Drosophila melanogaster: one gene and its partners. The protein of the gene in region 1 interacts with the protein of each later gene in a pairwise test. Each region holds a gene or a part of one and is shown in the gene's direction. Other genes may lie near its edges. The genes, in order: Pka-C1, slo and smo.

Region 1 (10,877 bases):
AAAACACCTTTTGCCTAGATCATTAAGTACATTAAATGTTAAGTAAAGAAAAAGCTATAGCACTTAATTTTCATTTAATTGCCAGCCACGCAGTTAGCATACAAAAACATATTCGAATGGAATTTCATCGGCCCATTAAAGTGTAAACAAATTGCGGAGAAGAGTAGTGAATAGAACAGAACAGAACTAAACAGGCTGGCAGCCAAAAATGGTGAGGAGACATTGGGGCAACCTTGATCATGAGCACGTCGCTATGGGGCCAACAAATTAATGCTCGAACGTGCTTTCTTTAAATGGCTAAACGCGTGCGATCGCAGCAGATCTCTATTCGCAGCGGAAGAATCTGCGATCTTCTAATGGTTATGGAAGTCCATAGTGGCAGATCTAGCAAATCTAGACCTTATCACTTGTGGAGATACTGTGCTAAGCCATACGAGTGAAATCACTGCGATATATTAGGTTGTAGTATAATAAGTTAAAAACTCTCTCTTAATAAAGAATAACAAACGCGTTCTCAGCTAAATTCTACACATAAATTCTATACACAAACATAAATAAATTGAAAACCACAGTCGCAGGCATAGCAAATCAATTAAAGCACAATCGATACAGTAATTAAATTGATTGCTCTTCTTCAGATTTTCTGAATTACCCCAATATTTGTATTCTTTCCGGCACCCAAAGCAGTCTGGTGACATGCGTTCCATATGGCGACACAAGCACACCAATTGCCATAGCACTCTCACACAATTTTGCCAAGTTGAAGGTTTCTAGTTATACTCGCGATCGTGCTCTTGATCTCCCGCTTGATTGGGCTTAATGTGTGCCCAGCTAGTAATTACTTCAATATACATAGATATATACGTTGGCTCAACCAAGTGTAACTCACCTAAAGAGGTTGTCCGAGATCAGCAGCGTTTCGATGGCCTGCGACTCGGCGGCTTGGAGGACATGTTTCTTTCCATAGAAGGCCTTGGCGGGCTCACATTGCAGCATCATGTAGAATTGTTCCAGGGCCTTGACCTCGCCAGCTGCCTTGGTGTCAGACATCTTGGCCAGCACGGCGGGATCCTGTAGAATTTCTGAAGGCAAGAATTTGACTTAGAACATATCTCTTCATAAGGGTAAATGGCTCACCTCTTAAGGAGTGCTTAAATCCCGAGGATGCGTGCACCAGCATAAACTTGCTCTTGTTGTCCAGCAGCAGCTTGTAATCCATTTTGACCGCCTGCTGGAACATGTAGTCATAGAACTGATCGCGCACGAATCCCGGCGACGCAATCAACACACACTTGACCACATCGAAGTTGACGTGCCGCAGGATGCTCTGCATAACCTGCTCGTAGAACTTGGCCAGTCCCTTCTCGTGTTGCTGGACACTGCCCTTGCGCTTGCGCGGTATGGAGACCTCAATCTTGCTCCGCACCAGGGTCATACTGGCGGTGATCAGGCAGACGTGTGCTAATCCCTCCTGCATCACAACGGCGGCTACATCCGCAGACTGTGTGGGATCGCAGGCCATTTCGATGCGCTCTAAGGCAATTGTGTCCCATTCCGGCTTACGCAGCTCGAACTTGCGATTCAGCTCCAGGTCGAGGGTGTGATAGGCGCCCATCTTGACATACTGGTTCTCCTCGATGTTTCTGCCTTTAAGGCGGAGCACACAAGCCTGCGTATCAAAATCTATGCTCTCCACTGCGATGGTTAGTGTGGTGCGCACCCGGCTGCTGGTGGAGGAGCCAGTAGCCGTTTCATTCTGCACCTTGCGAATAGTGGTGCTGCGCACGCTGTCGCCTTTCGCAATCAAATTGTAGGCGTGCCACATATCCTCGGACTCCTCCGGCACCAGGGTCACATTTCTAAAAGAATTTTCGAGGCATAACGAAAATAGTTTAAGACTCTGGGGATATTCACTCACCCCTGCATGCCCTTGTCCACGTATTTGCCCAGCAGCTTCATCCCGTCTCGTTGCTGGTCAGGATTTGGTATTTGTTTCGTCGGCAGGCACTGCCTTTATACCGAGTGCTTTGATTCCTCTAGCCGCTTGTCACTTGCACCCAGATTCCAGTAATTCCCTCCGTTCACAAAGGCGGCGGTGCATCGTTGTCATTGGGTTCACGCAGTTGCTAAGTTCACACCGCTGATCGAATCGGCAGGATGGTGTGGCAATGGTGGTGGTCAGTAGAATCGGCGGCCAAGTGACATTCACCAGGGGCGAACGGTGATGTGCGACTGGCTATTTTGCCGCCAGGATTGGCTTTCTTAAAGTAGTTTGCATAAGCTACCATTCAGATTTTTTTCTATTTCTATGAATAAATAACTTATAGTTATAAATAAATATTCTACATGCACATGTACATTTTGGTCTGGTTCAATAATTTATATGAAATAAGCTTATATTAAACTAGCTTATTTATTTGCCAGCACTTTGCCGGCTATACCAGCTGACCCCTTTGGTTTAGTATTTTCTGGTATTTTTCGGCATTGGTATCCGGTGTCCAAAAATTGGGCACTCCAAGCCAACCATGTGCGTTGGAAACAACAATTGCATTAAAGAATACACATGTTTATTCAAAATTTCAATTTGAAATTACCACTTTGTACGAATGTTCACTTAAATCTAAAGGGTTACTAGACTAGCAGTCGCTCGATCTCCTGCTGAATGGAGGTGATCTGCGACTTGAGCTGGCTGCCCTCGTTGGTGGTCACAGAGCAGGCGACTATTGGCCGGGAAACTCCGCACGCACGCCCCAAGGCCTGCTTGGAACGAACGAAGACGTAGGGCACGTTCTTGTCCTCGCACAGGAGCGGCAAATGGAGCAGAATCTCGATGGGCTCCGCATCACCGGCCAGCACCACAATATCGGCCAGTCCGCGATTGAGGGTCTTGGTGGCCTCGTTGGCTCCCTTGCGCAGTTGATTGTAGTTCAATGCTTGCTGCAGCAAGTTCATGATCTTGGCGGTAAGCTGGGCATCGGCCAGCGGGAATGCCTTGGGATTAACTTCCTCAGTCTGCAAAGATTGGGATACTTGTTGAAATTTACATCTCTCGATGCTAACGTGGATGCACTCACCATATTGGCTTGTTTATTGTATACTTTTACTGGAAAAAAGTGCTTTAAAATGCAACCTCTCCGCTTGCTGCTTCACTGAGGGCAATTGCAGAACAATTGAAATCGCTTTCAAACACGTGCGTTAGCGTTAGAAAACCGTTCGCAGGTGGTTCGGAAATACCAAATAAGACTGGTCATACTGCCATCTAGGCAATACTAATCGTAACGGAAATTGTGTTCTCTGCAGCCCTAGCTTAAATATACTTTTGATAATTTAAGGGAATTCCCAAATAGAATTTCATAAAATAAAAAAGGAAATCCATTTAAAAATATTTCGTAAAATCGAATCTAAACTTACTTCATAATACAACGTTTCATTAAACAAGTGCTCTATTTTTATTAAAAATTATATCTTTCATGCAGCTTAGAACTCTTTAAACATAACAATAAAATAATCCTTACAGCTTACGAATTATATATTATTATAATTATTTATTAAAATTTTGGATAACCGCTAGCTATTTCCGATCATTTAGATTTTCAGACGGAATAGAACCCGCGCAGTAGGGATTACTCATGATTGCGCCGCACGGTTCACGCTGAGCGAGCTGCCTATCGCTGGCCTACTCACACCTGCGTGCTGGGGCGCATCCGCGAGTCGCGTCAGTCGAAAAAAAAACTTTGAACGATTTGGTCGGGAAAACTCGGTTCGGCGGCTATGCGGGTATTTTTAATCTAAGCCATCAATCCACAGCTACAGTGCATCAAATCGATCGGAAAGTCGAGGCAATATTTCTGAAAGTGTTTACAAATCGCTGGCATCGTAGTCGTAAATTTCAAAAAGGTAATTTCGCGCAGCGAAAATGGAAAAGCAAAGTCAAACAAACTCAGAAAAAGGAAATGAATGTAAAAAATCGATTATTCAATCTGTGTATGTGTATGTTGGTGTGTGTGTGTTAGGTGAGCGCTGAGTGTGTATGCGTGTACGATAGTGTTTGTTTAAACCACGGGATTTTTTTATGCCCAAATCGAATGGCGAAAATTTAGCACACCGAGCAATAAAGGCCAATTTAACTAATTTAAAGTGTGCGAAATGTGGAAAAGTGCCTGCGAAGAGAGCGCTGAAGAGAGATCGCAGAAGTAAAACCAGAAGCGCATACATATGCACATCAACTCGCACACATACACACACGCACACCAGTGAACGCAAAGAAGCAAAAGCAAAGGAAATGAAAAAACAGAAGCCAAAGCAAAACGGTGCCAAAAAAGTATTTAATAATTAAAATAGGCGAAAATGAGAGGGAATGCGCGAGGAAAAGGAAGCAGCACTGCGTAACAGTGCGTGAGTGGGAGTGAGCTGGCACTACGGCATCAGCTGTTTGACACTTGACACGATCGAAAGTCGCCTCCTCTCGCTCTCTTTGCCATTCCTCTGTTCTCTTCTTTTTATTATTTTCTGAATTTCGAGTTTGTGTGCGATTTTGTTAAGCTTATTTATTCAGTGATTATAACCAGCTTTTTATTAAGCTCCATAAAAGTGCCAGCAAAGCGCTGAGAACAAAAACAATATGAAGTGAAAAATGCGAAAGAGCGAAAATACATAAGAAACTTAAAATATAATCTATATGTGTGCATAAAGAACTCGGAAAACTGGACTCTTATTTTTAGCCCCTTACCGAATATCCCGCTAATTTGTGCCGTTTTCTCTCCCGTCTCTCTTTGCAGCTTCTCAAATTAGAGTAAATCGCGATCATAAGCAACCTTAAAGTGTGAAACCAAATGTTAGTCTAAGCCTAAAGTGTATAACTAGTTTAAGACCTCACAAATTAAAGAAACCAATACGTGCTAAAACCATAACTTAAACGCGTCTTAACCAAGCGCCTTTAAAACGCAACCTAAACACCAATTTAAAAGGATATTCAGCGAATAAGAGAGTGAGAGAGCTCCAGTGAGAAGCTCTCTTTGGCCCATAAGGAGCAACTATTTCATCCGCACCGTTGACCCGTAACTCGGCAAAATAGCTAAGTCCATTTTGCAGTTCCTCAAAAAGAAAAAGTCCCATCATAGTTCCACATCCGGCGAGGGCAAGCTACAGGCGCAGTCCAGTTGCGAGGAGGAGGGCGGAGCGGCAGCGGGAGGAGCGGGAGCGGCAGCGGGACCTCCAGCGGACCAGGCTAGCAGCAGCAGCAGCGGCCCCTCGTCAGCAGCCGCCGCCCACAAGAGCACGCCCCCTGCCGCCACGACCACGCCCGGTTCAGGGGCGGATTCAGGAGGAGCCAGCGGAGGAACAGGAGGAGGGGGAGGAGGACCTAGCACCTCCGGCGACGATCAGGCCCAAGTGTCGGCCAGCGCAACCTTCCGTTTGTCATCGCTAACGGGCACCATCTCCAAGATGGGCAACAACGCCACCACGTCGAATAAGAAGGTCGATGCCGCCGAGACGGTGAAGGAGTTCCTCGAGCAGGCCAAGGAGGAGTTCGAGGACAAGTGGCGACGCAATCCGACCAACACCGCCGCCCTCGATGACTTCGAACGGATCAAGACCCTGGGCACCGGCTCCTTTGGCCGTGTCATGATCGTCCAGCACAAGCCCACGAAAGACTATTATGCCATGAAGATCCTCGACAAGCAGAAGGTGGTCAAGCTGAAGCAGGTGGAGCACACGCTGAACGAGAAGCGAATCCTGCAGGCCATTCAGTTCCCCTTCCTCGTCTCGCTGCGCTACCACTTCAAGGACAACTCCAACCTTTACATGGTGCTGGAGTATGTTCCCGGTGGCGAGATGTTCTCCCACCTGCGCAAGGTGGGCCGCTTCTCGGAGCCGCACTCGCGCTTCTACGCGGCGCAAATCGTGCTGGCCTTCGAGTACCTGCACTACTTGGACCTCATCTACCGTGATCTGAAGCCGGAGAATCTGCTGATTGACTCGCAGGGCTACCTCAAGGTGACGGACTTCGGTTTTGCCAAGCGGGTCAAGGGACGCACCTGGACACTGTGCGGCACGCCCGAATACCTGGCCCCGGAGATCATTCTGTCCAAGGGCTATAACAAGGCCGTGGACTGGTGGGCGTTGGGCGTACTCGTCTACGAAATGGCCGCCGGCTATCCGCCGTTCTTTGCGGATCAGCCGATTCAGATCTACGAGAAGATCGTCTCCGGCAAGGTGCGCTTCCCATCGCACTTTGGCTCCGATCTGAAGGACCTACTGCGCAACCTGCTGCAGGTGGATCTGACCAAGCGCTACGGCAATCTGAAGGCGGGCGTCAATGATATTAAGAACCAGAAGTGGTTCGCCTCCACCGACTGGATTGCGATCTTCCAAAAGAAAATCGAGGCGCCGTTCATTCCGCGGTGTAAGGGTCCCGGCGACACGAGCAATTTCGATGACTACGAGGAGGAGGCGCTGCGGATCTCCAGCACCGAGAAGTGTGCCAAGGAGTTTGCTGAATTCTAGAGGAGCTCTTCGCCAGTCAGCCCAATCCCCTCGTTCTGCAGGCGCCTGCAACTGCAATTGTATCCGCTACTGCGATTGTATCTGCAACTGCTCCTGCTGTTGCCACCGCCGTGGCATCGCGGACCACGTCCTCATCGTCGTTGTCGTCGTCTTGTCTATATGTCTACTACTTACAACTACAACAACTGTAACAGCCCCTCCCACAACACAAAAACTACAGCCACATCTTCGTCTGAATATCTATCCGTATATACTCCACATCCATACTATTGCCAACATTGGATTTCTCACCACACACAACAATTTACATCAGCGTAAGTATATAATAATTGAATTTAAAAATGTTGAGGGTTTTGAAAAATATATTGTGAGTTAGAACCCTTTGAACAGCGAAATTTAGTCAAGCCTAGAAAACTCAGTTGGTTTACTCAGCAAAGAAAAACAAATACAATTTCACATTCCGAACCGTAGGTCTAGGTTTCAAAATTTGTTTACTTCATAATTCATTCACTTTATTTATTACTAATAACAACATTCTTATTCACGCCTAATCATACTGATAACACGACTTGAGATTTTTAGTAAATAACCACAATATAAACATTAGGCTATTACTATATACTTTATTTTATTTAGAAAGTGCATATTATAATTGTTCTACTGCCTACCTTTAGAATGGTTTATGAAGAGGAATTACTATTGACTTACAGAGATATACGGGAAAAGGCGAGTTCCTAATTTATTATGCCATATATCAATCTGCAAATGCACACAGAAGGCTATTTCTATTTCTCACCATATTTGCTGTACGGGATATTAATCTATTGACTGTATTCCCTACTTTCTTTGGTAACGATTCACTGGCGAAAGCGAAGGGTATTCAGGGCAAGGGTATTGCAGGTTTGTTTTTGTTTTGACTTTAGCTGGAGATTGATGGACTTGAGTGGCTTGATTGATTGATTGCTTTCAGCGGAATGTTTTTGCTTGTTTTAGGGAGAGCAAGTGAGTGAGTGCCAGAAAGTTGATTATGAGACAAAAGGCATTTCAGCTCGTCCGTCAATTGTTCTGCCCGGGACAGTACACGGAATTCTTTTAATTAGTTTCCGTCGGTGACTTGGCTTATTGCGATACGCGGATGGTTACCCTGCGGCACCCAAAACCTACGTGATGTTTTCTCAAAAAGATATTCGAGCATGACCACTTACTCACTTATTTGCAGCCAGACCCCCGGGGCAGTTATACCCGTAAACATCGAATCATTAATTGCAATAAGCGTCAGAATGCGGTCGTAAACGTTAACTGTAGCAGCCGGGCATAGTTCAGACGGGTCTAATCTCCACAACAGACAAACTAGACAGCTGATAGTAACAATGCAAGCCAATTACGTTCAAAGGAATTCTCGGTGCTTAAAGTAAATTTACACAAAAGTTGGTGGTGGGTTGTAAATCATGAAACTTTCTAGCTATAATTATTTGAATTCAACTGGAATGTATTCAGTTACACTTTAGCAGAAGTAAAGTAAAAAGCCATTTAACTTATATTTCGAATCATTCTGTGATACATCTTCTTTAATTAAATACCAAAATGCTTTTCCATTTTAATTTCCTGGGACTCCCACAATTTCCACACAGAAATATAGTCATTCACACTTGACCCATTTGAAAGGCCAACAAAAAGGGGAGAGAAAGCCATGAATAATGTCAAAGCAAAAGGCAGTAAAAGAAGTATATCTTTTATTTTATGAATTATTTCTCGTTTCTTTGCGGAGCTACAAAGAGCTAGCAGCTAGATTGCGTGCCCGTTGGCCATTACCGAAATTGTGTTTCTTTTATCAAAGCCAAACGCTGCTGGTAATTAATAAATTATAATAAGTTTTATGTCCAAACATCATGAGCAAAACAAAAGCAAGAGCTGCGTGCGAATGCCGCATAAAGTTTAGAAATTGTGGGGAAATGCGAAAAACTAAAAACAGAAACGCAATCAAGAGTTGTTAATTCTGGGAGAAAAGCTTGACTGCAGATCAAAGGGGAAAAATCCGAAATATTCACGCCAATGTTCATGCGGTAATCGTTGGCCGTGACCTTGTTCGACCTTTGGCCTAGCCCCAAAAGAGTTGTCCATCCGAACATTGGTTTTTTTTTTTTTGGTTTCTCCTTCGATTCCCTGATGTACATATATAAGCATTTCCATGCGACATGTGTTGTCTACAGTTTTATTGGCACCAATTATGTGTATAAATGTATGTATAAACATTCGGTTGTTTCTGTCGCTTGCTGCCTGAGAAGGCCATCAATCATTTGGTTTTGGGCCAAGTCAATTAGACCCGTAGTCATGGGTACTAAGTGTCGGGCATTAGGTTTACTTATTTACATTAACTCGACGGCTTTACTGATTGCTTATCAATGCAAAGGCGGTGGAGGAAGCGTTATCACGCGAAGAAACCAGCTGGGTGGGAGTGGGGTGATTGGGAGGCACGCCCTAGTATTCGATTTCCCCTGATAAGCCAATTAAACTCTTTCTTTGGCAACGAGTTAATGCTGCTCTGCTGCTCCAGTGAATTTTATACCATTTAATTTTAATAATTATATATTTCCGCTTTATTTTACATTTGTTTGATATATAAGTGAATAAAGAGCTAAGCTAAAAGTCTCATAGTTGAATAACTTGATTGTACTGTTAGTACTTCCCTCGTTTCTGGCACTCTTCTAATTTGGAGCAAGCTAAGAGCCAAAGTTCAGCTCCCAGCTGGATGTCGCTGAGCAAACTTGTTCTCAGAAGTCGCGGCACAAGCACTCAGATATCAAGCAACATGGATTCAACACGCATTCGTTGTGCTCCAATAAACACCTAGACCAAGCCAAGTTTAGCAGTCAGCCAAACAACACAGAATGCAACTGCCAACGCGCTTGTGAATCTGAGACGTTGTCTGGCCAATTTCGGGCTAACAGGGGGAGGTTCGCTCGGGGGCGTGGCGGAACGGGGGCGGTAGATCTCAGACATAACGACCAGGCCGGGCAGCCTTGTAACAGTGCCCTCAAAATCGAGCTTTTTAGCCAGCACGCACGCGCTGCAACTGCGGCCAAGTAAATGGCGATGGCGATGGTGATGGTAACAAAAACACAGAGATACCCAGACAATGGTCGTGGAGAAGTGAAAACAATTAAGTCGCCGAGAGGGGGAAAAGCCGGAATTTTCCGAGAATTCAATAAGGTAAATGGTTCTGGTTCCCCCTGGTGACCAATTCCATTTTCGTTTTTAAACGAGAGAGACACCGAAGTAAATGTAGTTCACTGGCAAAAATTTACAAAATATTTTCAGTAATTGAATAAAAAAGATTCATAATATGAATAGTGAATATGACTTTAATTTGCTTTATTATAAACATACAGTTATATATGTGCAATCGAAGTTTTCCATGCTCTCAAGTATTTTTATCCGTGTAAGCAACTACAATCTGACTGAGTCAACGCGTCGTATGAGCAATATATGCAAAAAGAGCGAAAAAGAGGCAAAGCTCAAATTGTATTTTCGTTTTCATACGCATGAAGAATAAATTAAACGATTTCTGCCTTTGCCTTAATTGTGTTTGTTGATTTTGTTAACTTTTTCGCTTCGTTTCATTTCGTTTTTGGTTGGGTTTGGTTTGGTTTGGATTTTCCGTCTCAGTTTGGCAAACGGGTCTCAGTCGGTTTTTTAGCAACACCACCCCCCCTTGGAACCCCTTTTGGATCTCTGAAAATGTTAGGAGTGGCAGTCGCCGAATGCAGGCTATAAAAAACATTTAAATTGAGACAGCAACAGCGAGGCAAACTGGCAAAATCATTTAAATAACGCACACGTCGGCGGCAGCTTCGTTTTGCTCGCCATGTTGTGCTCGTTTTAATTTTTTGCTTTTTCGCGTCTTTTTTTCCCCCCTCCCTCAGTTTCATTTGTGCAATTATTTTCGTTGTCGTTGTTGCTTTCAAAATTGTAGTCGCTGTTGTATTTTCGCTACTCTTTCCCTAGAACGCGTTCTAGTGGAATGCGAGGGCATTTTGTGCTCGCGGCGACCCCATAAAGTATATGTTCTCGATCGGGATCAGGCGATCTTACTTGCTGCCCGCCATTATCTTAGCCACCCAAGCAGTTGTTTTCATTTTCTTTTATTGGTATCGTATTCCGATTGTTTGTTTATTTGTACACTAGTTGTTTTATTCTAAATGTGCATTCGACTCAAATGGGAACAGTTTCCTCCTAAGACAAACTAATCAAAACTATATAAATAAATACCAGAGCATATTGTGATTTTTTTTCACTTGAGCAACATTGTTGCTTTCTTTAATTTGAAATATCTTTTCGTTACGTTTGGAAAAGACGTGTTAACTTATTAG
Region 2 (9,146 bases), on another chromosome or scaffold:
ACCAATGGCCACCCATCATCACGGTAAGCACAGTGTTCTCGCCCATGTCGAAGCAGCAGCTGTCGAAGATGACGCCGAGCAGAGGTAACTTTTCCACTGGCGGCACTAGCAATCCAAAGCCGTCTTGTTTGAGTAGCTTGCCGGGGAACTGCATGTTCACTACCAGCACATCCACGTACGGAATGCTCAAAAGTTGGGCGCTCAGCGAGGGATGCTGCTGCTTTACCAGGGGCGCGAGTTTGTAGGCGGGCAGGGAGCTGACCACATGCTCCACCGGAACTTCGGCATCCTTGATGTTCATTCGAACCCCGGAGCTGCTGAAGGTCAGGTTCCGGCATTCGTTGCTTAGCTGCACGTTCACATCCCGCTCACCTAAGTACTTTCGCATAGTTTTGGGTAGGTTCTCCAGACCGCCTTTCAGCCCGTACATGGCCCACTTCTCCTTTACCGCCTGCGCATACAGCTTGGGCTGTCTTTCGGCAAATAGTCCATCCTTGGTGTCCTTGGTCTTGTTCTTCTCAAAGCGGGAAATGAGTGTGCCCTTGAGCACTCCTCCGTACTTCTGTTCCTTTTCAAAGAGCCCCTCCATCAGGAAGCGCACACTTATTTCTCGCGCGTCACCGGCGCAAATACCGCAGATCATGGGACTGATGGCGTAGTCGGCTATCTCCTTACCAAACCGCCGCTCAGCGAAACTGTAGATGCTCTCATCCTCCAGCTTCGCTTTCTTGCTTGCTGTGAACAGATCGCGAAGAACCGCTTTGTATAGCGGCTTCGTGAAGGGAGGCAGGACGCCGAAGAGACCCTTGGGACTGTTGGGCAGCATGCAGAGCTGTCCCTTGGCATACAGCATTCGGTTGCGTGCTGCGACATGACTGCGTCGAATGGGAGTCACCTCCAGCTTCAGATCCTCCACCAATTCTAGCGTATTGGCACCTGGCTCACCAACTGGGCGTATGGTTCGCGGTCCGCTCTCGAAGATGAAGTTGCGATCCTTGCGATTCTCCGACCGCACCCATCCGCCCACACGGGGCGAGGCCTCGTAGATGGTCAGCGGCTTCCCGAATCGCCGCAACAGGTAGTATCCGGCGGATAGTCCACTCAATCCGCCTCCCAGCACGGCCGTCGTCATGGTCCTTCTGCTGCTTCTCGTTGCTCCCGAATCCCTTAGAGGATTCAGACTAGTTCTGGTTTGCAGACGAAAAAATCTATGCCGGCTTCGATCGTTCAGACCAAAATAAACCCAGGTGACATAACTATCGTTGAAGCTATCGATAAGCTCAAATCCAAAATCGCTGAGCTTGCAATCGATGTTATATGCGATTGAAGAGTTTTGAATTGACAATTCTGCAGAAAATAAAATCAAATAAAGGAAGGGATAAATATTTTATAAAATAAATAGCATTTATTGTTATACTTATTTTGGTAACTACAGCTAACATAATATCTTATAATCGAAACAATGGTTTTAGAATATTTATTGTTAAATTATGTAAAGTTAAATAAAATATAGTGCAATTGATAATACTTAATTTAAGCATTGATACAAGAATACAAATGCATAGTACTTTTATTTGCCATTATTTTATCTCATTTAACATGCATTTGTGCACCCGTCCCAAAAGTATGCAATGAATTTCTTCCGACATTCCTCATACGCCACGTGTGCATCGTGCGGAAGTTCACTTGCACCTGCATCGGCACCATTACCATCATCATCACCATCACCGCGGCACTGGGTCATTCATAGTGAATGGGTTTTGGCGCCAGTTTTGATGAATCGAACGAAGCGTCCAGCCCGCACCAACCGCAGGACTCCGAAAAGCTCCCAAAGACGAGCTTGGGCCGTGCGGAAGTACATTGGGCCACCGATTTCCATGTCGTCGGAGTCGACATCGCGCAGAATTGTATACGCTGCTGACGAGAAAGGTTGGTCCTCGCGTTTGAGCGCGTCGCGTCTTTTATTCTGGGTGTGTGAGTGAGTGGACTGTGTGGAAAAGTGCCTATCGCGTATATGTATATTCACGGGACCCATACACACACACACAGCTGCAGCACTTGGAAATGTGAAAAATTTTCAAGCTGCGTTTGCCAATTACGGGGAAAATTGAGCAAAAAACGTCTTAAAATCCGGGCAATTATCGTGGCCATTTGCGGAACGGCAATTGTGCAAAATTCGGTATCCGTTGAAAACGGGCTCAGTGAACGTGAAAATGTGCCACACACACACTTACAACGCAGGAAATTCAATTAATTAGTGACCGAGTGTGTGTGTGTGTGTTCGCCCATAAAACGGCGATTGTGATTGCGAAAAAAGTGTTGCATACATAAAGGAGCTAAGAAGTGGACCAACGAGCAACACTAAAGGAAAACTCTTTAGAAATACAGTTTTTCGCTTTTTTTTTTGGCACTGCTGCAGGTTTTCATTTAAAAGATACATTTGTTGAAGTCAACACACACGGACACACACACATGCGCATACGGCACAGTTTTTCGTTCGTTTTTAAAACGAGCACACCACAAGTTCCCCAAAACGAAAGGACGAAGGGACCCGACCCGATGATAAAGTCGATGTTCCAGGCCGGAGATACACTTGTATCGTTCCCCTGCCTTTGCCGCTGCTGTCATCGTCAATGTTATTTTTGTTGCTTCCTACTCGTCGTCCTTCGTGTGTCGCAGGATACCTTGGTATATGTGTGTCAGTCAGTCACTGGCCGAGCGTGGGTGTGTGTGTGCGTGCGCCAGGATACGCAGATACCCAGATACCTACAAATGAAGCCACCAAATCCAGGCGAGTTCAATGCGCGGCCAGGACGAAGGACTAAGCTCTGTTTACATTGGCTCACGAATGCCCATTTTCCAAGCCCCCTGTATTTTCCGCCCGTTGGCGTGCCGTGGGAAATTGTGTCGCCTGCTTATTTATTATGAAAATGCAACTTTCATTTGACTCGGCATTTGTCCCGTTTCCATTGTTTGCAGGCACATTAGGCAGCTCGTTAAGCGCATGAAAGTGTGTGTCCTGCGGGTGTGCGAGTGTGTGTGTGTGACACGAAGGGGAACTAAAAACTAGGGCAGTGTGTTTCCGTTTCAACGACATGCCGCAGGCGAAAGAACGAGTCCGTCCGCAGGACAGCAAAGCCTCGCTAATCGGGCAGGAAATGAATAACTTAAAAAGTTACCAATGACAAGTTTGACATTAAATGTATCATATACAAATAACATGCAAACGAAAGTGATAATTGTAAAGCATGTTGTATATTGCCAAAAATTCTAGTTTTTGGTACCACATTGCGTATGCTTAACCAAAATGTGCGACTTTCGCAGGCAAGGAAAAAGCTTTCTGCCCGACAATTTTCGGATTCCCTGCATCGCGCAGCCGCCAATACGCCAGCAGCAATTGTGAGAAATTGAGAGAAATTCTCAGAGAATTCTCCGAGAACTGAGAATTTAAAAACGGCGAGAATAGTGCTGATTTTGCTTTCAAGTCTGCTTCGCATCTTTATTTATTTATTTACTTGACACGCTTGCTTTTCCGGCTACGGAAAATGGTGATACAATGTCTAAAATAATATTAATTTAATAGAATATATATACGAATACAAATATATACGTAATATCATTGACAAATGTCTGCGGTCGTAAAAAAATTAAAAACGCAAATAACGCTGACAGCCTAACTAAAAAATATAATTAATTACCGCGTTCGTCGCGCTGCCTTGGCAAATTAAAAAGTATTTAAATTATCGCTCAACTTAATAAATCTCTTGCAGCTTAACACACAAGGAAAAATTTCGTGGGCAAACAAAGCTAAATAAGTTGTGAAAGGAAACATGAGCAGTGTGACTAAGCGCAGTTTCTAATTTAACCAAATTCCAATTCAAATTCAAAAGAACGAACAACTATTGATCAAGACGGCAAAGAAAGAAGCAAACAAACCAAAACGCACAATGAAACTGATAAGCTTAACGCAGCTGATAACACAATGAAACTCATCCACGGATCCGAAATGCAATTATGAAATAATCAGCAAGCCGCAATCCATCAGCCAGTGAGGAAAATCCAGCCAGCCAGCCCAAGAATTTCCACGTGCAACATTGGCGAGCCGCAGCGACCACAAATCGTCCAAACACATTGATGTGCGATTTGAGCGTGTGAATGTTGGCAGCCCTGGAGCCCTGCCTCGGTGGTTTAGCCAGTACTAGGTGAGTACTCCCAGTCCTTCATCCATTCGCCCAAAAAACACTGTTCCAAATCCCAATTCGATTGCACCACCACCACAACATCCATACACTGTGCCGCATAGAAACCCGAATATGAGAACGGATAGCGAGGGGAAAGCCGTAGCAGCCGCAAGATCCACTTCGAAATCCAGAAAGACCATCAACACCACATCAGCAAGCGGTCCGCCCGGACCGAAACCGGAACGAACATGGCCAGCTGGTGCCCCAATTGCCACGAACTGCCACCGTTCTATCCGCCCATCACGCCAAAGGTAAAGCCCTTGATGTCGTACGTGATAAATCCACAGATACATATTCGTACGCCTCGCTTGTGAAAGACCATCTGAAATTGTAGAAGTCACGTTAGCGGCTCTGCAATGATCTGTATACGGACTACTGGGATTAACCTATCTCTCCAGCTCGTCAATCAATCAATCATCAATCAATCAGTCATTTTTCCAGCGATAGTTCGCAGTGCTAGACGCTGCTACTCTTATCACATTTTGCTCTACTTCGAACATATAAAAGGCAGTGATCTTTAATCCAATAGCTTATCACTTTGTTTTGAATCCAAAGGAGCGAGCTCATTATATTATATATATCATTAAAATGTAAGCCTTATTTCTGTTAATTAAGTGTACAACTTGGTGTAAAACGATAATGTAATCGAGAGATATTTGTAAAATTTGTTGTAAATATATATAATGTACATAATCTTATCAGTACTTAGTAAGTTAAATGGCTCAGTTTATTTACTAGGTACAAACGCTTTTTCCATTTCTTCAAGAATAGTTTATGCTAAGCTCACTTTAATTTAAGAAACCCAATACCACAATCTAATCTTAATTATGCGATCGTATATTTCGCTTCCTGCTTTGAATTCGTTTCGCTCCATTTAATAAATGGGATTCACATCACTTTGGCAACCCATTCGCAGTGGGTCGCGTGACCTTTGTGAATGTGGCACACAAAGAACCCAGTGCAAACACACACACCGACCAAGTGCAGCCTAAGCCCTTTGGCCTTGGCCAATGTCCAATGTCCGATGGGAAAGCGAAAAGACATGGGGGATTGGGGAGACCAGTGGCCGGCAATCAACGGACCCAATCAGCGGGCCAAGTGCTGGCCATAAATTGCTCAGAAAGTCGAAGGGTATTTGTCAGCTTCGTCAGTTGTCGCCGTCTTTGTGCCTTTCGAGCGTTTCGCTTTGACGGACATGCGTCAAGATATATAGAGCTAGCTGGTCAGGGGCTCGCCCACGCCCCCCAAAATCGATAGTTCGCAATGAAAATTATTATCTAGCCACCGGTAGCCGTGTGACTTCATCCGTTTCTGGCCGCAAAATGACAGGGAAATCGGCCTGGTGGTATAATTTATATCGTTCCCTATCTTTTCCACCCGCACTCATAAGGCGCCACCAATTCCATCGACTTGGCGCAGTATCTCTGAGCCCGTTAAGGCGTTTTGACCGAAAAAAGCATTCTCCATTTGGGCCAAAGAATATAGAGCGACCAGTGCTTCTCATGTTATAAATAATTTATTCAACGCCGGCCACTGCAGTTTCGCTTGGATCGATGAAAGTGCTCGGAAGTTAATCCAAACACTAAAAAAAAAGGCAAGCAACTGAAATTTTCAAAAAAAAAAAAAAAAAACGTTTGAATGTGCTTATTTAAAGGAAACTTGATACCACTTCTAAATTCAATCCAATTTTGTGAGTGTGTTTGCTTTGCGAATTACAAATTAACACCCAGTTGTGTGCATTTAATTGAGTTAAAAATAATAGTATTTACAAAGGCCTCAAGTTTAACAAAAAGGTTAAAGAGTAACCCATTTCGGCTTAAAAAAAACATTGTGTTTTAACTTTAAAATTAATAACTTATTATAAACCTCATTACAAAACATTAATGCAATTTAGAAACCTTTTATCCTTAGCTCAAATGTTGAGTTTCGTAAATATTACGTATACGCAATGCTTAAATTCAAGGTGAATGCTGCTTAAAAATAGTCATCAAATATTTAATTGAATAACAATTTTGCTCTTCTTCGCTATTTATAATTGCGTAAATGCAATGAAGCGAAGAACCTAACCGCCCAAGCATCGCAAAAAAATAGAGAGCAGTGAAAAAAAAACAACGATACTGAAATAAAAACTATAAATAAAATGCACGCCACTGGCTTATGATGAGCATGATGATGATGGGAAGGGATAGCAATGCAGGGATGCGAGGGCTAAGGGATGATGAGCAATTATGGCCAGTGGGGCAGTAGTGGAAAGTAGTGGAAAGTAGCGGCAGTGGCATGTGCAAACAAACTGGGCCAACTTGTTACCACGGCTGCCCCCGCAGGAAATAGCAAACAAAGCGCGTAAATTATGAAACGACAGCTAACTGGCGGCATGGCGTGACTCGCCCGAGTTAACTGAAGCAATGGCAGTAACGTTAACGTTCACGTTAACCTGCCTCCCGCCCACCTATACACCCATCCACTGGATCCACCAGCCACTTTTTGGGAACGAGTGTTGCCCGGGGGGCCATGGGGTCACCGAAGAAGGAATGCAAAAAGTGTGTGTATAGGCGCAGAGCACAAAACAAGAGACAAAACCAAAATGAAAAAGCGAATAGAAGCGAACTCATAATTTATTTATTTATACTCGGCCTGCCGTTGTCTCTTCTTCTTGTAACAATAATTCATTGTGGCCAACACACACGCACACACACAACACACTTGCTGGCTGCCCTTGCCAAGGGTTCCACCAATATTTGCATCAATCGAACTTTTTCTATTAAACATTCAAACATGAAATTGTACAAAACAAATTAAAAATATCGTTAGATTATAAGCGGAACTAGAAATTATTATATGTACCGCTTGATAGAACATTTTACTGGGCTAACTTAAGATTAAAGGACAAGCAAATATTGTAAATAAAAAGTTACTCTTCACTATTTATTCAGTAATCCTTCGAATTCTTTAGGATTCGAGTGTCCAAAACTACAAAGGTCCTTCGAATTCGTTGTAACACAACAGTTAGGGTATATCCTCTTTATTCCAATACCCAATTGAATTCGCCTTGTCTTGGCGCTCTGCCTTTTAATTAAATTCAAGTTTGTCGCCCGTACTGACACTTTTCGCGGTCAGCCATATAGCCAAATGCCCGTATAGTCATACAATCCGCCGGAGAGCGAGAGAGATGGCCGGAGAGTGGGTGAGCCAGAAAGAGAGAGGGATGGAGAGCTGTAGCCTCCAAGGGGATATAGATAGATAGGAGCGGGCTCTTTGTAATCGTTGAAACCGTCCCGATGGCACTGGGGCAATTGGAAAACGGCTCGTTCAGTTGGTGGACGCCAGTTGTGCGGTTCGCTCGGTGCCTCCTTTTGATTCAGCTCGATTCTAGACTCTAGACTAAAATCGCGTGCGTGCCGCGTCGTGTGTGCGACATCCGCCATATATATATATATATATAATAATATATACGGCATATACTATACGTATATCTGTGGCTCCGTCTACACCCCCAAAATTCGTACAAATTGCAAATTCACATGCGTATGTGCAGTGATTCACCGAATGAGTGCGTTGGCCTCTGGCCGCAAGTTGTGAATACCCAGTGAATCCCTAATGAATGCAGGCCATAACCACAATCCTAACCAGATTGTAGTATATGTATATATGTAGTTATGGTATTTGGTTGTATGGATCGTAAGATCGGTGCTGTGTAGTCGGCCTTTGCCCAGTGTTATGAGCACTTTTGTCGCCGTGCGTGTGTCGGAGAAAAAGATCACTTTAAAAATAACAGATTTGTTTGATGCTATTTATAATAGACGGGCCAAGTTTTCGTTCCGTTTCGCATTGTGAGGCTGAGGCCTTTGGTGTTCCGAGATCTTTGGTGGATCATTCGTATCTTTCGGATTTCCCAGCGTCTTCTATTCTCTGGCACTCTAGTAGCCTGGCACTCGACTGCACTTGAACGCCATTCGAATACGAATATAGTGGCAATATTAATTTGACAGCGTTTGTGTGTTCGAGTGTCGCAATGTAAACAGCCAAAATGGCAAGCGGTTTGATCGACACCAATTTCAGCAGCACATTGGCAAATGTAAGGATTGTACATAGAACACACTATATACCCTATGCACAGAGAGAACTTTTTCATTACAATTTATTTATGTAATTAAAATAAGAAAAAGTCATAAAAAAGTCATAACATGTGGTTGTTTTTTTTTTAAGCCACATATTAAATTTAAGTAATCCACAAAGCACTATATATAAAAAATATTTTGTGTCACATAAGTTAGATTTATAAAGTAACCAACCAACTGAAACTGCATATTTCATAAAAATGTAAAATGACATTATTTTTCGCCTTCTTTTTGTTGTGTGCACAAATGAATACTCTTTTCGGCTAAGCAAACTAGAGACATTTATTCATGAACTCATTTCATTTATGCGCACCCTTGGCCAGGCACAAATTTTGTTTACATTCGCCAGCGTCGCCAAGTTGAGAAGAGTATAGTATAGTATATACATATATGTGTACGATTGGATTGCGACCGAGTGTCTTCATATATAGAAGGCATTTCGCCGATTTCAAATGTCAAGTGTATGACGTAAACAATGTTTCCGCCAGTTATCGTATTGATTTATGCTAATTATAGTTAGCTAATTGCTAGACCATTGCAACCGAACTAATTGCTAACGCTTTTCGAATTCGAATATTGTGATTGCAGGGGATGTCGGGGTGTGATCAAAGCACTGTCGAATCATTGGCCGACGATCCAACAGATTCACCATTCGACGCCGATGATTGTCTCAAGGTGCGCAAGTACTGGTGCTTTCTGCTGTCCAGCATCTTTACATTCCTTGCTGGCCTGCTCGTGGTGCTGCTATGGCGAGCCTTCGCATTCGTTTGCTGCCGCAAGGAGCCGG
Region 3 (11,330 bases), 9.4 Mb from region 1:
CTGTCTGAGAGAGGAGGGAGCAGGCGAGGATCGAGGCAGAGGTGGGTCTTCGGTAAAGTCCCCCACATTATCGAAGTACAGCATGTTACTTTGGCCAGGACTAACATGCTGATCCTTAGGTTGCCACGAGTTGTTACGGCCACCACGCCTATTGGAATCTCTGCCGCGGTTCCCTCGCCTGCCACCCCAACCACCACCTCCTCCGCCACCGCCTCTATTTCTTCGGCCCCCTCTCTTGTTTGGCTGATGATTATCCAGCTCCTGTTGGGGATCTCTGAACTTGTTAAACGCGTTTCCATTCTGCCCACCTTCCGATCCAGCGTCTGGCCAGTTTCCATTGGCGGCGCGATTTTGGCTGTGGCTGCCTCTTCCCCCGCCTCCACTGCTGCGCCTCTGCTGATTGTTGCGGCCGTAATTCGAAAACGGTTTTCTTTCCTCTCCTGAAAGGTTCCAGCCGGATTGTCCTCCACTGTTGTGCATTATGGAATTGTTAATATTTATAAAACCGCCTAGTTGCGGCGCACGTGTTGAGCCGATTGGGGTTATCGATAAGATCCGATTGTTGGTGGGACTGCCGAAGTGGCTTCTTTCAAGCCAAAACTGCTATTCATTATATGTATATTAAGTTTGAATACCTTATATATAATATAATATATATATATAATACTGTGACAATATGTGACATAATACATGTAATGGACTAAAATGTGAAGTGACCAATGGAAGGTTTTTATAAGATTTAACATATATAGCTAGATTCGATAGTTTCTCAAACTGGCACCTCAGATGGTCAGATGGACGATATTCAGTTTAACCACAAATAACAACGCTATGAATTCTACCAATCCGAAGAAAACAGAAGATAATGATCGCCATGAACGTCAATTGCAGAGCCGCACCAAGGACTGGGGCAAAACCAAGTTCAAGCCAAAGAAGTATGTCCAACCGAAACCAGCGCTCGTTCCACAAGCTACTGCGACGCCCTGGCAGCATGTGAAGAACGACATAATTACGGATTCTTCGGACCGGGGACACCAGGATGTGGACAGCGAGGACGCAAGGCAGTTCATGCAGCAGCGTCAGAAGAACCACCGTCGAAATGTCATAGAAGCCAACCGGTCGCAGGATACTACATGGGAGCCCTTCAACGATGAGAAGCCCTCCACGGAAAGAAAACAACAGCTCTCCACGGACGTTGAGAACTTCACTTTTAAGGAGCGGAACTTTTTCCGAAAGCAACTCACTTTGGGTTTCAATTTAACGAAAAAGAATGCAACACTTAAATCTGCCCTAAAGGACTTGAAATATAGACAGCTGACAAAGGACAAGTTCGAATTAGAACGTTCGAATCATACACGTCGAAATGTGAAATCATCAAATGCGAAAGAAGCAAAGGGTAGCCATCCCTTTCAGAAAATGCGAGATAATGCACATCCTTATCGAAAGAAGGGACCAAATAGGAGAAATCCGTTTCAGAAAGGGCCACATAATGAATAAGTTTAGCTTATTTTCCCTTAGGTGACTTCACAACCCCAACTGGCAAAACATGAAGTTTCAATTAAAAAATAAATAAAAGATTCTTTGTCGGGTGACAAATCAGAAATGTATACACAACATTACTACACACTTTATGCAAATCTTAAAAATAGTGGTACAAATACATGTGGAATAGGTCGGCGAAAATAAATAAACTAAACAGAGTTCGGCTCCTCCTCCGTTGGGAGGAGCAAGAGGAGATTGAAGTGGCGCTCGCTGCGCCATGGTTCCAGCCAAAAATCGTCCAAATGAAATCTCAGCCATGTACATTGGCAAGCTTGGCGATGAGGTGGTTAAACTTGCCGTTGGTGGTCACAGACTTTTTGGCCGATCGCACTTGTTCCGGCGAGTGCTGCAGAAAGTAAACGACGATAAATTCGAGTGTTTGATTGGCTTCCTTAGGGTACATCATGTTAAAGGTATAGTAGTAGCAGATTAACTGGGCCAGAATGTCCGGCAGGTCTTCGTCTTTGGCGGCGAATGTGGCCATTATCTGGCCTTCAATGTAGACCTTCGCCTCCATTTGCGATTCCACGCCGTCGGCCGTTGTTATGGGTGAATCTGTGGGAAGATAAATATTTTAAAAGTATTTAAACACTTTTAGTGATATTAATTTTTGTGTACTTACTGACTAGAGCCACCCAGGGGGCGTTTGTGGGATTCGTGCTTTGCAGTGATTCCTTGCTAAGGGAACTGTTCTCGAGGTGCTTGAAAATGTAGTCGGGATCCTCATTAAAATAGTACGCTATGCCACGCAGGAAATTAGCGTTGGTCTCGTCCAAAGAGCTGATCTTCTTGTTCTTTGAACTCTTAAAGAACCTGAAAAAGCGATCCTTTTCGGTAGCCAAGCGCTTCTCTAGAGCCCGGGGATCGATGGACATAAGCAGCTCAAAGTGCTGGTACAGCACAGCCTTGTCAAAAATATATGGCCAATTGTCCTTAATGGCCGTTATATCTGGGATCTTTTCGCTGTTATTAAAAAAGGAGCGCTGCAACGGAAAGCACTCTTTCATATATTCGATTATGACGGACTGTTCCAGTGGGGAACTGCCTCGGTAGCTGGAGATTAGTAACTCCTTTTTGTGCTCCAGATCCCTGTTAAGAGCCAGCGATTTTGCATCACCATTGGAAGCACCACCTCCGAATTTTCGTTTTTTATTAGGGATGTGGATCTCAAAGGTTCCCGAGCTGCCGCGTTTCTGGGGTTTGTTTAGGGCATTGTTACGGTTGATCATCTTGGATATGAGCGATTGCGGAGTGGTGGCTATAAACTGTCCCTCGCGGTCTTTTTCGAGTAAGGAGTCGGGGTACTTTTCAGCCGCCTGTTGGGCGACCTGCCGGAAAATCCGTATGGGAATGTGGGCGGATATTTCACGGAGAGCCTCCACCAAAACATTCGCAAGTGTATTCAACCGCTTGCCCAAACTCCCCTTTCCCTTTAGTAGTTTCATTATGTCCCCAGGCACCTTGCTCCAGGGTATCGAGAACTCCTTGAATAGAGCAGAACTCTTTGCACTTGATGGCGTTACGCTGGACAGTGACATGGTTTCGTCATTAGAGACCGTCGAATCGTTCGGGTTCGACACAATACTGTTGTTGGCATAGAAGCTGGGATCCACCGAGCTGCCGGCGCGTTCGGATCGGTTGAGGGGCGATGGCGGAGGAAGCACCACATACTCCTCCGACTCGGCGAGGAGCATCAACAGAATCTTCTCCTTGGCAGCGAACAAGAGCACGTCGTCCTCGCAGATCTCGCAGCCGTTGCTCTCCAGGACAATTGTGTTGCCGCACAGGCCGTATTTGTGAGCTACCGAATACAAATATATTATTGATATAAATTAAATAAAATATGTACAATTATTTAATTTCTATCCTAGATAAATATATCACCCATTGATCAAATTTATATTTTTAAATGCAGAAATGCTCTAAGCTTAAACCCAATAGATTCTTATTAAAGACTGTCTACTGGTTAATAACTTCCAACTGGGCAACGTTCATTCGGAATACTGGATGAATAGATACCCAATTCGTCGGACGTTCCTTACCTTTGTCGATTACATCCTTTCGAGTGGGCAACGACATGAAGGTCTTCTTGATCTTGCGATCGGCGCTGCATATGGTAATCAATACTTTGTCAGCCAGCTCGGTCTTCGGCTTGCCCTCGTCGTCGTCCTTCTGGCTAGCATCAGTGGAATGTGTCGGCTCTACGGCTAAAAGGTAAACGTTAACCAGGAAACTAGACTAGCTTCGAGCAAGTTTGCTAACCGGGGGCTTTCTCACCGCAGCTCTCTGGCTTTTTCGCTCCTCCTGTTTGTACACCATTTTCGATTGTTGTTGCCTTTGCGAGTGCGACCGGCGCTTGGTTTGCATTTTGATTCGGACTGATCGGCGCCTGCTGGGTGCTATGATCGCCGCCGGAACTGGCGGGCGGTGCGGGGGCAACGTCCATGGCTTCTATTTGCGTTTGCGCGACTCCAACCAAGCCCTGTTATCCGTGTTTTTGGACCGTGCCGTGAAATAATATTGCAGAATAGGGATGTAAAAACTACATCGATGCTTGGTGCGCTACTATCGCGGTGTTATCGATACTCCGCACCCAGTGTGACCGTCGAGCGCATGGCATAAATAAATAAGCCAGCGGCCAGCATTGCCATATAGTCAAAATGTTGCGGGGAACACCTTTTTCGTTTGCTGATGCATTTCTACATATGATCATATTTCTTATTTTATGTTGATGTTATCTTATGTTACGATCGAACAAAATAAATCCGATTTGTTTGCATATCATTCGACTTGTTGCAGCTATGACCGATAATAACCGATGCCGACCGATAACATGCAAATCTCGCTGACCGATAACATGGGTATATTTAAACTGGCCCTGAATGGTCGCACATTTGTTGCTTCAGCTTCACGTTGAGTCGCGTTTATTTTTGTTTTCCTCCTTGGTTCTTGTTTTTTTTTTCTCTTTTTTAAAAACACTGCAATCCTTCAAAGGGAACAATTAAACCAGGATATCCCGAGTCCAACGAAAGCGCCTTCACGATGCACTGACGAACCGCTGAGCAAGAAACGGGCATTCAGCCCATTAAAATTCACACAAGGCAGCTATTTAATGATTTTTATAAGCGGATGCAGTACTTAAACTTTCCGCGCATGCCAAACATTATGTGAGTGACTCGCCTCTGGCAAATGGTGTGGGCAATTAAAATAACTTGGTTATTTACAAACCGCAGGATGTTCCTGGAGGTTGCGATCTTATGCCTGTGGGTGGTCGCAGACGCATCGGCCAGTTCGGCCAAGTTCGGCAGCACAACGCCCGCAAGTGCGCAGCAGTCGGATGTGGAACTGGAGCCCATCAATGGGACTCTCAATTACCGACTGTACGCCAAGAAGGGCAGGGACGACAAACCCTGGTTTGATGGCCTAGACAGCAGGCACATCCAGTGTGTCCGACGTGCCCGTTGCTACCCCACCTCGAACGCAACCAACACCTGTTTCGGCTCAAAATTGCCCTATGAGCTGAGCAGCCTAGATCTCACCGACTTCCACACCGAAAAGGAGCTGAACGATAAGCTGAACGACTACTATGCCCTGAAGCACGTGCCCAAATGTTGGGCAGCTATACAGGTGAGGAATCTTAATAACATCTAATGTACCTAATGATTTCAAAAGGTGGGGCCGAGTCTGTATGAAAATACAGATTGTCGCATTATTTTCTGATAAGGAGGTGCATTAGAAACAAGTTAAGCGCACAACTGTGATTACTTAATTACGCTTTGTGTTCAAGCAGTGAAAGTAATATGTGAATTGCTTTATCTTGGGAAGATTCAGATATATATACATATTCAGTTGTGGCTCAAGGTTTTCTGTAGATATTATAGTATTTCAAATCCATTTCTTCAATATTCCGGATTAGCTCAACACACCCATTTTTACATGTTTATAGCCCTTTTTGTGCGCCGTCTTTAAGCCGAAGTGTGAAAAAATCAACGGCGAGGACATGGTCTACCTGCCATCTTACGAGATGTGCCGAATTACCATGGAACCCTGTCGCATTTTGTACAACACGACGTTTTTCCCAAAATTCCTTCGCTGCAACGAAACACTCTTTCCGACGAAATGCACAAACGGAGCACGAGGAATGAAATTCAACGGAACTGGCCAGTGTTTAAGTCCTTTGGTTCCGACAGATACGTCAGCCAGCTATTATCCTGGCATCGAGGGCTGCGGCGTGCGATGCAAGGATCCACTCTATACCGATGATGAGCATCGGCAGATCCACAAACTGATCGGATGGGCTGGCAGCATATGTCTTCTGTCTAACCTTTTCGTGGTGTCCACCTTCTTCATCGACTGGAAGAATGCCAACAAGTATCCGGCAGTAATTGTGTTCTACATAAATCTTTGCTTTCTAATTGCTTGCGTCGGGTAAGTTTTGAGCACTATTTTGCATTTGTATTCTTAATCAACCACGTATTTACTATGCAGCTGGTTGCTTCAGTTTACTTCTGGCTCGCGAGAGGACATAGTATGTCGTAAGGATGGAACACTTCGCCACTCAGAGCCTACAGCCGGTGAAAATCTTTCTTGCATAGTGATCTTTGTGCTGGTCTATTATTTTCTCACCGCTGGAATGGTTTGGTTTGTGTTCCTCACCTACGCCTGGCATTGGAGGGCCATGGGCCACGTCCAAGATCGGATAGATAAGAAAGGTTCCTACTTTCACCTCGTGGCGTGGTCACTACCCCTTGTGCTTACCATTACCACGATGGCTTTCAGTGAGGTGGATGGAAATAGTATTGTGGGCATCTGCTTCGTAGGCTATATCAATCATTCTATGAGGGCAGGACTACTTCTTGGTCCGCTCTGCGGGGTCATCCTCATTGGTGGATACTTCATCACCCGCGGCATGGTGATGCTTTTTGGACTGAAACACTTCGCTAATGACATTAAATCAACTTCGGCGAGCAACAAAATCCATTTGATCATCATGCGCATGGGAGTCTGTGCTCTGCTCACTTTAGTTTTCATACTAGTGGCCATTGCGTGCCACGTTACGGAGTTTAGGCATGCAGACGAATGGGCCCAGAGCTTCAGACAGTTTATAATGTAAGTGTAAATACTCGTTTATAACTTTTTCCATACGCCTCAACTAGATAATTCTTTTGTTTAGCTGCAAAATTTCTTCAGTTTTTGAAGAAAAGAGTTCCTGTCGAATTGAAAACCGACCTAGTGTTGGCGTTCTTCAATTGCATTTGCTGTGTCTATTTAGCTCTGGAATCGTAATGTCCACCTGGTGCTGGACACCTTCTTCAATTGAGACTTGGAAGCGTTATATAAGGAAGTATGTTTTACCATCCTACCAAAAGTTGCATTAAAGTTATCTGTACTATCGATTTTATAACCTTTGCAGAAAGTGTGGCAAAGAGGTGGTCGAAGAAGTGAAAATGCCGAAGCACAAGGTCATTGCCCAGACATGGGCCAAGCGCAAGGATTTCGAGGACAAGGGCAGGCTCTCCATAACGCTCTACAACACCCACACAGATCCCGTGGGGCTCAACTTCGATGTGAACGATCTGAACTCTTCTGAGACGAATGACATCTCATCAACTTGGGCTGCATACCTCCCGCAGTGCGTAAAACGTCGCATGGCTTTGACGGGAGCAGCGACAGGTAACTCGTCAAGCCATGGACCGCGAAAAAATTCATTGGATTCCGAGATAAGTGTGAGTGTTCGACATGTTTCCGTTGAATCCCGCAGAAATTCGGTGGACTCGCAGGTATCAGTGAAAATAGCTGAAATGAAGACCAAAGTGGCGTCCAGATCAAGGGGAAAACACGGAGGCTCTTCCAGCAACAGAAGAACCCAAAGGAGAAGGGATTATATAGCAGCTGCCACTGGAAAAAGCAGTAGGAGAAGGGAAAGCAGTACTTCAGTGGAGTCGCAGGTCATCGCGCTCAAGAAAACGACCTATCCCAATGCTAGTCACAAAGTGGGCGTGTTTGCTCATCACAGCTCCAAGAAACAACACAATTACACCAGCTCCATGAAGCGAAGGACTGCTAATGCCGGATTGGATCCCTCTATTCTTAATGAATTCCTGCAGAAAAATGGCGATTTTATATTCCCATTCCTCCAAAATCAAGATATGAGCTCTAGTTCGGAGGAGGATAATTCCAGAGCATCCCAAAAGATTCAGGATCTTAACGTGGTTGTAAAGCAGCAGGAAATAAGTGAGGATGATCACGACGGAATAAAGATTGAAGAACTGCCAAATAGCAAACAGGTGGCATTGGAGAACTTTCTTAAAAACATAAAAAAATCTAATGAATCCAATTCTAACCGACATTCCCGAAATTCCGCAAGAAGTCAGTCAAAAAAGTCCCAAAAGAGACATCTCAAGAACCCTGCTGCTGATCTAGATTTCAGGAAGGACTGTGTAAAGTATCGGTCTAATGACTCACTTAGCTGCTCCTCTGAAGAGCTGGATGTGGCTTTGGACGTAGGAAGCCTTCTTAACAGCTCTTTTTCTGGAATATCCATGGGCAAACCACATAGTAGAAACAGCAAAACCAGCTGCGATGTGGGCATACAGGCTAATCCTTTCGAGCTAGTTCCCAGTTACGGAGAAGACGAACTGCAGCAGGCCATGCGACTCCTAAACGCAGCCAGCAGACAAAGAACTGAAGCAGCCAATGAGGATTTCGGAGGAACGGAGCTGCAGGGCTTGTTGGGTCATTCCCATCGGCATCAAAGGGAGCCCACGTTTATGAGCGAGTCGGACAAACTCAAAATGTTATTGCTGCCTTCAAAATAGCAAGACTAAATAAGCAATTGATGCATTTACTTAAGGTTCAAAAACTCTTACAATATTGTAGTTTTTGTTCTAAGAAATCAAATTGTTAGCGCTGAAAATAATCGTACAATCTTATCTATTTTACGAAATCGTAATATTGTTATGTTCACTGTTCAACGATTTATAAGAATATATCGCTTCACTAGAATTGGAAACCCAAATGATATTTAAAACAAACAAATACGAAATTGTAGTACACAAGCCAGAGCAGTTTACATGCGATGAACATTTAGATTCTTCTTAATCGATTACTGGAACAGACTGAGCGAAACTAGAACTACGAATTACGAATACTCATAGTCATTAGGCTGCAACTTTATTTTACAGATTCATCACCCCATCTAGCTTGTAAGCATTCGAATCTCTGTGTACGTTTGTGAATGACTGTTTCCTTAATCCTGGTACTCACGCCAAAGTAAATGCCAAAGAGGATAATAATTTATTTTCATTATTTTTCTTTGCCGTGGGTACAGGACTTTAGATTGTAGATTATAGATTTAAGTACGATATAAATAAGCCTCTTGGGCACACAAATCGTACCTCAGAAAGTGCCTTCAAGTTTACAAAATTATACATAATAATTTGTGTAACTAATAAACGATTTTAAATCCTCGAGTCCTAGCCTTGCTTTAATTTCTGTTGATTTAGGAGCTTAAACTCCGGACCCCAAACGACGTTGTTGGCGAACTCCCCGAGCAGATAGCAAACCAGGTTGAACCCCACAAGTAGTGCCAAGAACACGTAGCGCAGGTATGCGGGCAGCACTTCCAGAATGGGATACACCCACTCGCCACTGAAGTAGCGAACAATGTGCAGCCAGATGATGTAAAGCAGGATGAAGGAGACGTTGCCCGTGATGCCTGCCAATCGACTCGGATAGCGGCGGAAGCAGGTAAACAGGTCCATAATGGCCAAAAGGGCCACATTCGTGTGTACCACGTGATTCAACCAGCTGCAAATATTGAGAAACACAGGTAAATCAAAACTCGCCTCGCCTGATGAACAGAAAGTTTAGACAGGCTCGAAACAAAAGAGACTCCAGCAGACTAACATTGTGCATTGTACGCAAGTTAAACCGGCGGAAAAACATAAACACTTGCCTGGGGAAAATCGCATCCAGCGCTGAGGGAAAGATGAGCTCACGGTCCCACACGTAGATGACCCAAAACGAGAGGCAGACATTGTGGGCGACAGGAAAGGCAAAGGCGGCGAACACATAGTCCCTCACCGATCGCAACATGGATTTTGAATCCCCGGAGACATTGTTATCGCCGAAGAGATCGTTCAGCAGAGCCAATGAGTGGTAGATGGCCTGTAGAATGACGTCCAAGAAGGTAAGGTACTTGAACTTGCCGCCCCACCGCGCCTTCAGTTCATCCTCGTCTAGCAAATCCGTGGGCCAATGCACCCGGAAGTAGTGAAAGTATATCCCATACGAAAACTGCGCTGCCGCCAGGAGATGGACCAGGAATCTCAGGTATTTGAAGGCACCGCTCGTATAGGCATCGTTGCAAGTGTTCAACTGGGCTTTAGTGGCCTCGACAGCTTCCTTGGCGGCGTTGAACTCGCGCACCTGCTTCTTGCTCTTGCCCATTTCCTCCAGAAAAGGTGCAAAGGGCACCGCACGCTGAGCAAAACAAAACAAATAAAGCTAGCCAACAGCTGATTAGGGCGCAACACACGTCGAGTTTCATTCCAGCAAGGAGGCGTTTTTAAGCTAGAACTAGCTTTTTAAAGCCAAATCGATATGATAGCGCCACTTGACGTTTCTCTGATCTTGAAAAGCAGTTTATTCCAAGCTTCCCACCTTAAAACAGTTTTCGCAGCTGATGAAGAGTTTAATCGCTTTATTATGGTACTAGAATTGAATAACAGTGGTATTCAAAGATGGCGTTGAATCAGTGTGCTTGATATGAGAAGTTTAATCGAGAAGGCATTTTTGTATTTTGGTTAGTCTAGTAAACTTATCGAAAGACGCGCGCGCTCAATGGAAACTACGGCTATAATTTCAGTTACAATGTATGCGTAATAAAAATATAATGAATATCATTAGCAAACGGGTTTCCATATTATGATTAAAGACTCCGAATTCAATATTACTGGAAAATATATTATCGAGTTGATGTTTCAAGTTTCGTTTATTATTTCTCACATATTTTGTACGCCTTCTTCAGTTAACTTTGCAGTACGATTTTACATACTTATGAAAAATTTCTTTGGCTGAGAAGATCGAACAATATGAGCAAAATGTATAATCGAGACCTGTCAATCACTATTTGTATTTTGTGGCTAATTAACGCAACTACATCGAACAGAAACGGGTCACAGCCTCCTAGTTGGATTTGCGCTTGGCCAACTTCACTTCCTTGGCCCAGACGGTATTGTTGAGGAACTCGCCCAGCAGGTAAAGTGACAGCGTGAATCCAACGACGGCCGCAAAAAACAGGATGCGTTGCGGAAGCTGGAGAACCTCGAGCACTGGATACACCCACACACCCGAGTAGTGCTTCACCACGTGAATCCAAACCAGGTAGGCGCCCATGAAAATGGCCAGTCCTGCGAGTCCTTGGCTTCGTTTTGGGTACGACCTGTACGAGATGAACAGCTCCAGGATGATGAAAACCACTATGTTGGTGTGCAGGACGTGGTTGAGCCAGCTGAAAGAGTCGAGCGAAGATATTATCAGAGTGTCATGAAAAAACAATGGGTGAAATCAAGACTTTTCAGACCACTTTTTTAATTTTATCCCTAAATATATTATGACGTACACATCTTTCAAGCTTTGTCGTAGCAAGCTATCTGAATAAATTAATTACTTTGAAAGTAAAACCAGAGCCCCAAAACGAGATTATAGGGTCTTAAGGTTTAGTGTCTAAGTAGCATTTTATGAAGATGGTTTATTACTGAAATGAAAGGAAAAACGTTGATCTA

What was found.
Region 2: the proteins of Pka-C1 (region 1) and slo interact in binary tests that used the Drosophila melanogaster proteins (3 or more experiments, as listed by UniProt).
Region 3: the proteins of Pka-C1 (region 1) and smo interact in a protein complementation assay, tested with the Drosophila melanogaster proteins (one study listed by BioGRID).

What each region holds. Positions count from the first base shown.
Region 1 is NT_033779.5:9,692,135-9,703,011, reverse strand, and holds the start of Pka-C1 (protein kinase, cAMP-dependent, catalytic subunit 1), read left to right. Parts: upstream 1-3,714; 5' UTR 3,715-3,897; exon of another isoform or gene 3,898-4,310; intron 4,311-4,580; 5' UTR 4,581-5,445; coding exon 5,446-6,507; 3' UTR 6,508-6,821; intron 6,822-10,877. Other genes in the region: pelo (pelota), read right to left, coding at 890-1,082, 1,138-1,859, 1,919-1,959; hoip (hoi-polloi), read right to left, coding at 2,632-3,012, 3,075-3,077. UniProt on the Drosophila melanogaster protein: Serine/threonine-protein kinase involved in memory formation. Promotes long-term memory by phosphorylating meng and by regulating CrebB protein stability and activity.
Region 2 is NT_033777.3:24,660,594-24,669,739, forward strand, and holds the start of slo (slowpoke), read left to right. Parts: upstream 1-1,897; 5' UTR 1,898-1,970; intron 1,971-3,770; 5' UTR 3,771-4,202; intron 4,203-4,303; 5' UTR 4,304-4,492; exon of another isoform or gene 4,493-4,831; intron 4,832-7,552; exon of another isoform or gene 7,553-8,268; coding exon of another isoform or gene 8,269-8,316; intron 8,317-8,947; coding exon of another isoform or gene 8,948-8,950; coding exon 8,951-9,146. Other genes in the region: Ppox (protoporphyrinogen oxidase), read right to left, coding at 1-1,132. UniProt on the Drosophila melanogaster protein: Potassium channel activated by both membrane depolarization or increase in cytosolic Ca(2+) that mediates export of K(+). Its activation dampens the excitatory events that elevate the cytosolic Ca(2+) concentration and/or depolarize the cell membrane.
Region 3 is NT_033779.5:273,155-284,484, forward strand, and holds smo (smoothened), read left to right. Parts: upstream 1-4,427; 5' UTR 4,428-4,671; coding exon 4,672-4,709; exon of another isoform or gene 4,710-4,775; coding exon 4,776-5,169; intron 5,170-5,488; coding exon 5,489-5,970; intron 5,971-6,030; coding exon 6,031-6,651; intron 6,652-6,715; coding exon 6,716-6,886; intron 6,887-6,955; coding exon 6,956-8,360; 3' UTR 8,361-9,013; downstream 9,014-11,330. Other genes in the region: mbm (mushroom body miniature), read right to left, coding at 1-480; CG11555 (uncharacterized protein), read left to right, coding at 832-1,497; CG17078 (uncharacterized protein), read right to left, coding at 1,793-2,097, 2,165-3,343, 3,585-3,749, 3,805-3,988; CG11601 (uncharacterized protein), read right to left, coding at 9,018-9,351, 9,500-9,993; CG3625 (uncharacterized protein), read right to left, coding at 10,732-11,056. UniProt on the Drosophila melanogaster protein: Segment polarity protein required for correct patterning of every segment. G protein-coupled receptor which associates with the patched protein (ptc) to transduce the hedgehog (hh) signal through the activation of an inhibitory G-protein.